3 linked regions of the Macaca mulatta genome follow. The protein of the gene in region 1 interacts with the protein of each later gene in a biochemical or structural test. Links are inferred from orthologs where the notes say so. Each region holds a gene or a part of one and is shown in the gene's direction. Other genes may lie near its edges.

What was found.
Region 2: the proteins of TNRC6B (region 1) and AGO2 form a complex in vitro, tested with the Homo sapiens proteins (3 studies listed by BioGRID and IntAct, with this or other methods). The link is inferred for Macaca mulatta from reciprocal best matches to the Homo sapiens genes TNRC6B and AGO2.
Region 3: the proteins of TNRC6B (region 1) and AGO1 form a complex in vitro, tested with the Homo sapiens proteins (2 studies listed by BioGRID and IntAct). The link is inferred for Macaca mulatta from reciprocal best matches to the Homo sapiens genes TNRC6B and AGO1.

Annotation. Positions count from the first base shown.
Region 1 is NC_133415.1:11,263,499-11,267,149, reverse strand, and holds part of TNRC6B (trinucleotide repeat-containing gene 6B protein), read left to right. Parts: coding exon 1-305; intron 306-2,507; coding exon 2,508-3,651.
Region 2 is NC_133413.1:150,868,777-150,872,427, reverse strand, and holds part of AGO2 (protein argonaute-2), read left to right. Parts: intron 1-1,426; coding exon 1,427-1,586; intron 1,587-3,651.
Region 3 is NC_133406.1:204,916,890-204,920,540, reverse strand, and holds part of AGO1 (protein argonaute-1), read left to right. Parts: intron 1-3,089; coding exon 3,090-3,210; intron 3,211-3,636; coding exon 3,637-3,651.

The DNA of each region.
Region 1 (3,651 bases):
GGCCGCCAGCCCAATTGGCAGCTCTCCATCGCCACCAGTCAATGGTGGCAACAATGCCAAAAGGGTGGCAGTGCCGAACGGACAACCGCCAAGCGCCGCCCGCTACATGCCTCGGGAGGTGCCGCCGCGATTCCGTTGCCAGCAGGACCACAAAGTGTTACTAAAACGTGGGCAGCCCCCTCCACCGTCCTGCATGCTCCTTGGGGGTGGGGCAGGGCCTCCTCCCTGCACAGCACCTGGAGCAAACCCAAACAACGCACAAGTGACAGGAGCGCTGCTGCAGAGTGAGAGTGGGACTGCGCCAGGTAAGGCATGCTGTGAATCGAATGCATGGCAGCTTGACAGACAGAGAGCACTTTGTTTGCATTGCTTAATGTAAAGTCCAGGAGAGCCATTAATTGTATAAACCACTGGGATTAGTCAAAAGATGAGAGAGGATCCTAGTATGTGATGTGTATTGGTGATTCTTGGAACTGAGGGTTAGTGTTCCATAAGTGTGTGCTCTTGGCATGAGGGCTGTTTTAGCTGTTGATGCTCATTATTTTGGGGGCCTTTTTTCCTTCTCAGACCAGAGTGTTATAAATTTGAACCTCCACAGTTCCACTGTCATATGTGTTCAGGGCATAATTGGACACGGGGCTTGTGTGAAGGCGAATCTTTAGATGCCTGTGTTATGTTTCCAGAATGCTAGGAGGATAGAGAAAATGATTTGCTACATTGCAATATAGAATCTTGGGAGGATTCTAAAATAATACTATTCTATAGCTTTTTAATTAGATTTTTAAAATCAGTATTTCTTTTGAGGGCCCTGAATTTTGAGCTTTGTTAAAAACTGTATGTAGAAATAAAAGAGATTTAGCTGAAGGGTTCTACTAGAAGTTTTGAGAGTTTTTAACAGATGAATACTAAGTCAACTATCAGCTAAGAAATTCTAAATATCTTTTAAAGTTTATTAACAGATTTCAACTTAAAATGTCTTTTGGGGTGATATTAAAATTCAGAGCTTGAATACCATTAAGCATTGGCAAAGACAATGGATTGATGGTTGTCACCAGTAGGATGCTTTATTGGAGTTCTGAGTTTGAACAAATAATTGCCTAGAAAATTCGGTCACCACCTTGTTGTGTGCAGAGTAAGGATGGAAAGAAACCTCGTGGTGACACAGACTTCCTGCAGAGATAAGCCCTACCCATGGCCTTTCCTTCCTGGCCTCTCCTAACCAGCTGCAAAAGGAAGCATGTGAGGGGGCGGGCCCTGTTGGGCGGAGTTTCTGCAGCCCAGTGTAGCCAGGCCTAGGTGGAGACCTGGGGCCAGTGTGAGTCAGAGTGCACATTATTAAAACCAAGGAGGCCCCTAAATTTCAAGAGTTTGGGATTCTACGCTTTTTATTTTTCTGTGCCTCTGTATAGTACTTTGCAACTTCAAATTGATTAAAAGCTGCCTGGTTAAAGAAGCCAAAGTAAATCGAGAAGAAATGATCTCATTAAAAACATTTTTTCCCACCAAATATGGTAAATTCCACCAAAATATATGGTGAGCCAGCCTCATTTATCAGATTAAGTTCCTTGGGGTTGTGAACTCTGCCTAATTCATACTCGTGTGACACCCCCCCACCCCGGGCACCGAGCTCAGTGGCTCAGCGGGCATCCATCATTCAGCAGATGCTTACTCAGCAGCATTGTGCTGGCTGCTGCGTGGAATTCTAACGTTAGCAAGTTAGAGTCTCTGCCTCAAAGATGCTAACATGGGGAAGGAAAGTTGTGAACATGGTGCCGCAATGCTGAGCAAAATGGCTCTAGACAGGGAAAGATTATTTTCAGGTGATGAGCTTGAAAACAGCTTGGTAGATGAAATGACACTTGAATTGGGCCCAGAAGGATGAGTAAATTTCACTGTGTGAATTCAGCAGGAAAACACAGTAGGTGCCAACGTGGAATGGTGCCAGAGTGAGAAGGCATGAGTTGTGGAATGTCAAGTAGTGTGGAATATTAACATCTACATAGGAAGCAGGAGAAGATAAGACTAGAAAAGTTGGTTGGTCCCGGGTCATGGAGCATCTTGATGACATTCGAGGCCAAGGAATTCACCTTTATTCTTGTGCACTAAGGAACTGTTGAAGGTTCTCCATACAGCAGTGATATAATCGAAGGTGTGCTTTAGAAAGATTGCTCCAGCCAGGGGTGTTTAGAGTGGACTGGAGATACAGAGCAGGTTTAGAGTGTCATTGCTACTGCCTTGTCCCAAAATACAAGAAGGCCCTTCTCTGTCAACAGGAACGGCAAAGGGTGTAGTTTTGAGAGAGATGAAGTGAGACGTAGCCGGTATAACACAAGGCAAATGAAAAAGAAGAGATGACTAAGACAGTTGTGATACAAGCAACTGGATTGAGAGAAACTGGCATGTGATTAGCTCTCCTAAGGGCAGAGCTCAAAGGAGAGCCCCTTTGAGGGATTAATGGGTAATGAATGCATGTGAAGCTGTGATTAATAAGATGATCTCTTCCCCAGACTCAACCCTTGGAGGTGCTGCTGCTTCAAATTATGCAAATTCCACTTGGGGCTCGGGAGCCTCCTCCAACAACGGCACCTCCCCCAACCCAATTCACATCTGGGACAAGGTGATTGTAGACGGGTCTGACATGGAAGAGTGGCCTTGTATTGCCAGCAAAGACACTGAATCTTCTTCCGAAAACACCACCGATAACAACAGTGCCTCGAACCCTGGCTCTGAGAAGAGCACTCTGCCAGGAAGCACCACTAGTAACAAAGGAAAAGGGAGCCAGTGCCAGTCTGCAAGTTCTGGGAACGAATGTAATCTTGGGGTCTGGAAATCTGACCCTAAGGCTAAATCTGTTCAATCTTCCAACTCAACTACAGAGAACAACAATGGACTAGGAAATTGGAGGAATGTGAGTGGTCAGGATAGAATTGGACCTGGCTCTGGCTTCAGCAACTTTAACCCAAATAGCAACCCATCTGCCTGGCCAGCACTGGTCCAAGAAGGAACTTCTAGGAAAGGGGCATTGGAAGCAGAGAATAGTAATTCCAGTGCACAGGTTAGCACAGTAGGTCAGACATCCAGGGAACAGCAGTCAAAGATGGAAAATGCGGGTGTTAATTTTGTTGTCTCTGGCAGAGAACAGGCTCAAATTCATAACACTGATGGACCAAAAAATGGAAACACTAACTCCTTGAACTTAAGTTCACCAAACCCCATGGAGAATAAGGGAATGCCCTTCGGAATGGGCTTGGGGAACACCTCCAGGAGCACTGATGCCCCTTCACAAAGCACTGGAGATCGAAAGACTGGGAGTGTTGGATCTTGGGGTGCAGCTAGGGGGCCTTCTGGAACTGACACAGTCTCTGGACAAAGCAATTCTGGAAACAATGGGAACAATGGAAAAGAGAGAGAGGACTCCTGGAAAGGAGCTTCTGTTCAGAAATCAACTGGGTCAAAAAATGACTCTTGGGACAACAATAACAGGTCTACGGGTGGGTCCTGGAACTTTGGCCCCCAGGACTCTAATGACAACAAATGGGGTGAAGGGAACAAAATGACATCTGGGGTCTCTCAGGGAGAATGGAAACAGCCGACTGGGTCTGATGAGTTGAAAATTGGAGAATGGAGTGGTCCAAACCAACCAAATTCTAG
Region 2 (3,651 bases), on another chromosome or scaffold:
CTGCCTGAGCCCCTGTGTGTTTCTGCTGCACTGAGAAAGGTGATCCTTTCGGGCCTTCCAGGAGGCTGAGGAAGAAGAGGTGGCTTCTGATCACTGCCAAGTCTGTGTTCGGGGCCTCCCCGTCGTCCTGTATGATGCCGTGCTCGTGGGCAGTCAGCACCTCAGGTGGCACATGCCTTGGCACATGGGTGGGCACCCCATCCATCACACAGCATGCGTGTTGGCAGGATGGAGGAGCGTTTGTTTAACGCACAGAGCGCTGCACCAGGGTCAGCTCCTGCTCGGGACTCAGCCCGTGTGTAACCTCTGTGCCCACCTCAGAATTCTGTGGCGTTTTGCCAAAGTCCATGCCAGGGGGTCACCCACAGGGCCCCACGCCCAACCACAGACAGATTATGGACATGTAAAAGCCACACTTCTCTAAGTTCAACATCCCAAAAAAAGAAGGGAAGAAAAAGCTATTGGTGTTGACATTCTGTAACATTGTCCCGGGGTCACCATTTCCCCAGATCTGCCCAGTGAGCAGCTGACCGGTTGCTTCATGAAAGAGACCAGGAATAGCGGGGGGTGGGTCCATGGAGCTCTTTGATGTCAGGTTTACATCTGCCAAGGATTTTGAGGGTGCCAGTGTTTTTATTTTTAACCACCAAAGCATTTGCTTGCAGCCAGCGCACCGTGGTGTGAGTGACCTTCCTTTTTTTCCTTTTTTTCTTTCTTTTTTTTTTTTTTTGAGACAAGGGCTGGCCCTGTCTCCTAGCCTGGAGTGCAGTGGTGTAATTTTGGTTCACTGCAACCTCTACCTCCCGAGTTCAAGCGATTCTTCTGCCTCAGCTTCCCGAGTAGCTAGGATTACAGGCACACACCACCATGCCCGGCTAATTTTTGTATTATTAGTAGAGATGGGGTTTTGCCATGTTGGCAGGGAGCAGGGTGATAACATGGGAAGAACTCTTGGCCTCAGGTGATCCGCCTGCCTTGGCCTCCCAGAGTGCTGGGATTACCAGTGTGAGCCACCGTGCCCGGCCAGTATAAGTGGCCTTTCTGAGCAGAAGAGCCAAGTCCTTCCTTTTAGCTGGGCTCTTTCTCTCCTGCCCTGGGGCCCCTAGGCCCCTAGGTGAGGCATTTAAATTGGAGGGATGAGATAGACTCACTCAACTTCCCTTTATGAGGGAGGGGAAGCCCGGCCTGGGCAAGGCGGGCACAGCTGTGCTGGAGCCTGGACTCCAAGGAGCCTGGCATCCCCCTCGGGGCCAGTGACCCTCTTCTATCACCGACCTCGGACAGAGGGGACATGCAGAGCTCAGCACAGCTGCCATGGTTGCGCTTGCCAGATGGGGGCAAGAGGGCTGGTGGCAGCTGCCGCTCCCAGGGCCAGCTGAGGAAGGGGCGCCAGCAGAGCTGTGTGTGTGCCTCTCGTGCCCCTTAGCCGAGGTCAAGCGCGTGGGAGACACAGTGCTGGGGATGGCCACACAGTGCGTGCAGATGAAGAACGTGCAGAGGACCACACCGCAGACGCTGTCCAACCTCTGCCTGAAGATCAACGTCAAGCTGGGAGGCGTGAACAACATCCTGCTGCCCCAGGGCAGGTGAGGCCCGGCCCCTTTACCTCCGCCTGCGGACCAGGGCACGGAGGGATGCCTGGCAGGGTGGGGTGCGGTGTGCAGGGGACATGGGGACACAGTCCCCTCACCTGGGCCCAGCACCGTCCTGGCCACAGCAGAGCAAAGATGTTAGACACAGATCTGGCTGCTCAGGCTCTGCTGGGGACCAGGGGCGTCTGCAGGAGTTTGAGCATTGTGGTCAGGTTTCCAGACAGAGAAATTCGTGCCTCGAATCCCAGTGGGCAAGGCAGAGCAGGGCATGCCTCGGATGGCCAGGAGATGGGCTTCCCTGGCTCGGCAGCAGCAGCTACTGTGTGGACCAGGGCACCCCCATGCTTCCCACGCCAGGCTGGTCATGGATGCATCGTGCTGGGACTTTGGACTGAAAAACTCCTCATGGGAGCACACGTTGGCAACTCCCAGACCAGGATAGGATGTGTGGCCAAGCACTGGCCACCCGCCTGCCTCAGAGGTCCGGGGCTGACCGCCGGGGATGGGAGTTGGGGGCGATGGAGCTGCACCCTCTTCTGGCACCTCCTGACCGGCTGAGCGTCCAGCTATTCTAGGCCAGGGCCATGGTTTGCTTCTTCCCTGCCTCCAAAGCCACCAACCTGTGATGTAGGCAAGAAAGATGTCACCACACAATGACAGGCATCTTTGCCAACCCTGGCAGTTGTCTTAACATTTGGACGACAACAACAGAGAATACGTAGAATCAGATTATTTGTGCATTTGTGCAGAAGGGAACTGGAGGCTGTAGGCAGCCCCTGTGGCGTGGACCTGTTGGAGCTCCCAGTCAACGGTGGGGCTCAGCTGATAAAGCCATCCTGAGCCAGGCAGTGCGCTAAATCTGCATCACTGGCACACCGTAACAGAGTTAAGAATCCTAAATTGAACTGCCTTAAGGCAGTGACCCTCTGTGTTTGGAAAGTGGGGCGGTGGTGAGCCCCCGCTGTGTGCACAGGCCTGTGCTGGGTCACCACAGTGTCCTCACACCTCAGCAGCTCTCGAACCCCAGCGGGGCTTGTTCCCAGAGTGTCCTACTCAGCAGGACTGACCGGGAATTCCCACCGCTAGCAAGTGGACACACACAGTGTCAATGCTGCTACATGGGGGACCAGGCTTTGAGAGCCACCGAGTGACACGCACCCAGAAACAGTCTGTTGAATTCATCAGGGAGCAGGGTGATAACATGGGAAGAACCTGGATTCCCAGTGGAACGGCTGTGAGCATGGGTGTGGGCTCTGTGGTGAGACAGGTTCATGGGAATGAGCGAAGACCAGTCCCGAGCTGGCTGGGGACTGAAAGTGCTGCTCCTCAGTCAACAGGTTCTGTATTTATTGAGTACCTACTGTGTGCAGAGAGTTTGGGCCATAAGCGGACAGCACCGGGCCGGAAGTCCTGGTGGAGGCACCCAGGTCGTGAGCCTATCGTACAGGCGGCAGGTGCACAGCAGAGCCATGGGAGGGCCGTGAGAGCAGACAGGAGACAGGTCCGCCCACGTGCAGTTCCTGGGGGCCGCTGGGGAACCAGGGCTCCCTCGGGTGAGCTGGGGTGAGCTGGGGCTGTCGGAGGCACCCGACTAACAGTATGGCCAGCTCTGGCTCCATGAAGCTGAGAGGGGCTGGTGGCCTGGGCCAGGCCAGGGCAGGGGCACAGGGTGGGAGCACCTGGACTCTGAGATGTTTTGAAGATAGAGCCCTGGGGCTTGCCGGCAGGTGGGATTGGGCTGTGCGTGAAGGAATAATCAAGGCCCTTGGCCTGGGCTGCAGGAGAGACCTCGTCGTCATTAGATGGGGAGGCTGTTGGGAGGGTGAGCACTGGGCATGGGTGAACTGGACCCCACAGCCTCAGCAGAGCATCTGAGTACGGGTGATGAGTGGATGGTGGGAACCAGAAGGCTGGTGTCAGGGGAGACAGGATCCAGGAATCCTTAGCAGACAGGTGGTATTCCAAGCCCTGGGCCCTGGAGAAGGCTGGAGTTCACAGCCTGGAGAGAGAGGAACCAGCAGTGGAGATGGGAGAGGCTGGGGCAGGGAGGCTGGCCGCA
Region 3 (3,651 bases), on another chromosome or scaffold:
GTTTCACCATGTTGGCCAGGCTGGTCTTGAACTCCTGACCCCAGGTGATCTGACCGCTTCGGCTTCCCAAAGTGCTGGGATTACAGGCGTGAGCCACCGTGCCTGGCCTCTGCGATATTTCTTTAATTAATTTTATTATTATTTGAAAACTATATGTATAATATAAAAAAATTCAAATATCACAGAAAGATAGTAGTGAAAAATGTCTCCTTACTATCCTGGTCTCTAGTCCCCCAGTACCATTAATTGTTACCTTTTTTTTTTTTTTTTTTTTTTGGAGACAGAGCCTCCCTCAGGCTCTGTCAGGCTGGTGTGCAGTGGCACCATCTCAGATCACTGCACTCTCTGCCTCCTAGGTTCAGGCAGTTCTTGTGCCTCTGCCTCCCAAGTAGCTGGGATGACAGGCAAATGATTCTCCTGCCTCAGCCTCCTGAGTAGCTGGGACTATAGGTGCCCCCCATCACATAATTTATTGGTGTTTTTAGTAGAGACAGAGTTTCACCATGTTGGCCAGGCTGGTTTCAAACTCCTGACCTCAAGTGATCTGCCTACCTATGCCTCCCAAAGTATTGGGACTACAGGCGTGAGCCACCATACCTGACCAATTGTTACCATTCTGTTTTTTTTGAGACGGAGTTTCACTCTGTCATCCAGGCCAGAGTGCAGTGGCGTGATCTCAACTCACTGCAACCTCTGCCTCCCGGGTTCAAGCGATTCTCCTGCCTCAGCCTCCCGAGTAGCTGGGATTACAGGCACCTGCCACCACGCCTGGCTAATTTTTAAATTTTTAGTAGAGACAGGGTTTCACTATGTTGGCTGGGCTGGTCTCAAACTCCTGACCTCAAGCAGTCCGCCCACCTCAGCCTTCCAAAGTACTGGGATTACAGGCATGAGCCACCGTGCCCAGCCAATTGTTACCATTCTTGAATATGCTTCCGTATACTATTCTACACATGTGCAGGCATATATGCACATATAAAATTTTTAAACACCCAAAACAGGGTTCTTTATACATTGTTCTGTACTTTGCATTTTTCCACTGAACAATATATTTTTGAAGGTATTACATACCAGCACATATGGATCTGCCTCATTCTTTTGCATAGGTTGAGTGGCTGTGATATAACTTATATAATAAATCTATTGAGGAACATTTGAGTCTAAATTCTGCTACAAAAATGAAACTTGAATATTATTATATATAGATTCATTTTTGCACTCAAATATGAGTGTATTTGTAGGATAAATTGCTAGGAGTGGGACTGTTGGCCTAATACATTTCAGAGTTTTCAGATATTGCAACTTGTTTTTAAAGGTAAGTTGTACCAACTATACTCCCATCAATAAGGCATCAGAGAGTCTCTTCCTATACCTGCACCAATTTGATATTTGAGATTTTTTTGATCTTTGGCATCCTGATCTTGGTCTAATTTTAAATTGTATTTTTCTAATAAGTGAAGTTGAATATATTTTCATATGTTTAAAAATAATACATGGAAGGGTCATTTTGAGTGTAAGAGGAAAGGAGAAAAATTGATGCACGCACATATTAATATGTTTGTGTATATGTCTGGTAACTCGAGGGTGGCCTTGTGTACTATTCTCCGCCTTTTTTAAAGATATTAGAGCTGCTTCCTGATAGGAGACAGGAATGGGTTCTGGAGTTACAGGCTAGTAGAGAAAGTTCTACATAGTCTACATAGAGTAGGAGGGATGGAAGTAATCAGGGACATGAAAAAGATTGCTAGGCAGCACTGAAGCCTAATTGGGATTGAAACCATATAATCACAGTTGCTTCTAATGTACCATTTGTGTTATCCAGTAGTATTCAAGAACTTTGATTTAGAAAGTGTGAAGGTCAGTTGGTTAGATAAACTGGAATTTTGAAGGAATAATGGACACCATGGGGTCTAAGTTTCAGAGGACAGGAAGTAAGAGATGGTAATGGAGAAAAAACAGGGTGGTGAGACTAAGTGCTTCAGAGAGATGGAAGAGATGAGATTTTTCTTCCACGGTTTATTCTTATTCCAGTTCACATCTCTTCTACCTTTTTTGCTTATCAGATCTGGGATTCGAGATTGGAGCAGCCTGGATTCTGTTCCTGATTTGTTTTTTGTTTTGTTTTAATTTTTTTTGAGACAAGATCTGGCTCTGTCGCCCAGACTGGAGTGCAGTGACATGATCTCAGCTCACTGCAACCTCTGCCTCTCAGGCTCAAGTGATCCTCCCACTTCAGCCTCCTGAGTAGCTGGGGCTATAGGCACACACCACCATGCCTGACTAATTTTTGCATTTTTTGTAGAGACGGAATTTCTCTGTGTTGCCCAGGCTGGTCTCAACCTCGGGAGCTCAAGCGAAAGTGCTGGGATTAAAGGCATGATCCACTGCACCTGGCTGTTCTTTTTTTTTTCTTCTTTTTGAGACAGGCTCTTACTGTGTTCCCCAGTCTGGAGTGCAGTGGTGTAATTATAGCTCACTGTAACCCCAAACTCCCAGCCTCAGGTGATCCTCCTGTCTCAACCTCCCAAGCAACTGGGATTATAGGCACATGCTACCATACCCAGCTAACTAAAAAAAAAATTTTTTTTTTTTTTTTGTAGAAAATGGGGTCTCACTCTGTTGCCTAAGCTAGCCTTGAGCTCCTAGGCTCAAGTGATCCTCCTGCCTCGGCTGCCCAAAGTACTGGGATTACAGGTGTCAGCCACCATACCTAGCCCTATTCCTGATTCTTGATAGACCCTGGAGTCAAGCTTTTCTCCCTTTAGCCTCCCCGTCTTCTCAGAAGGCACTCACACCACTCTTTCAGGTCCGTTAGAGCCTTGGTGGTCTGAGGACCAGCAGTGTCGCTTGGGAGCATGTTAGAAATGCAGAATTTCAGGCTTCACTCTAGACCTGCTGAATCCGAAGCTACCTTTTAATAAAATCTCCATGTGATTCATAGGAAAGTTAAAGTTTGAGAAGCACTGTCATAGAGTAGATGTTAGGAGTGAATATAATAGATGGGACATTGCCTGGACTTTGAATTACTTCCAAAAGCTTGAAGTGGTGGTAGTCTCTCAGCTTCCACAGGCCACTCCTATCCCCCACAGGGAAGTGGTGGAATACATGGTCCAGCATTTCAAGCCTCAGATCTTTGGTGATCGCAAGCCTGTGTATGATGGAAAGAAGAACATTTACACTGTCACAGCACTGCCCATTGGCAACGAACGGGTAAGGTTGGGAGTCAGGCTAGGCCTGTGTCAGGGGTCTGGGGTAGAACCAAGCTCGTGTAAGCCTCTTTGGAGTCTGGTGATCCAGAGATCCTTTTCATCTTTTGTGCTGAGAAAGTATGTTTTAGGGTGAGGGGTGGGTAGGTGCTGATGTTTATTTAGTCTCATATGCCTGTCCGTGTCCTAAACAGATTGAGATTAGACTTAAAATAGACCTAAAGGACTTCCTGCTAGGCTGAGAGGTAGTTGAGAGGAAGAGAAGCACTGAGCCAAGGTGGCTAGAACCTAAGGGGCTGGACTTACTTTGGGGTCTTCATTATGAGCCCCTGTCAACTTGAGAAACTTATTCTCAGCAAATCCATGGAGTTGGGGGTCATTCTCGTAGAGCAATGGCAATCCTTCACTCCTTTCTCTCACCCTCCTGAAGGTCGACTTTGAGGTG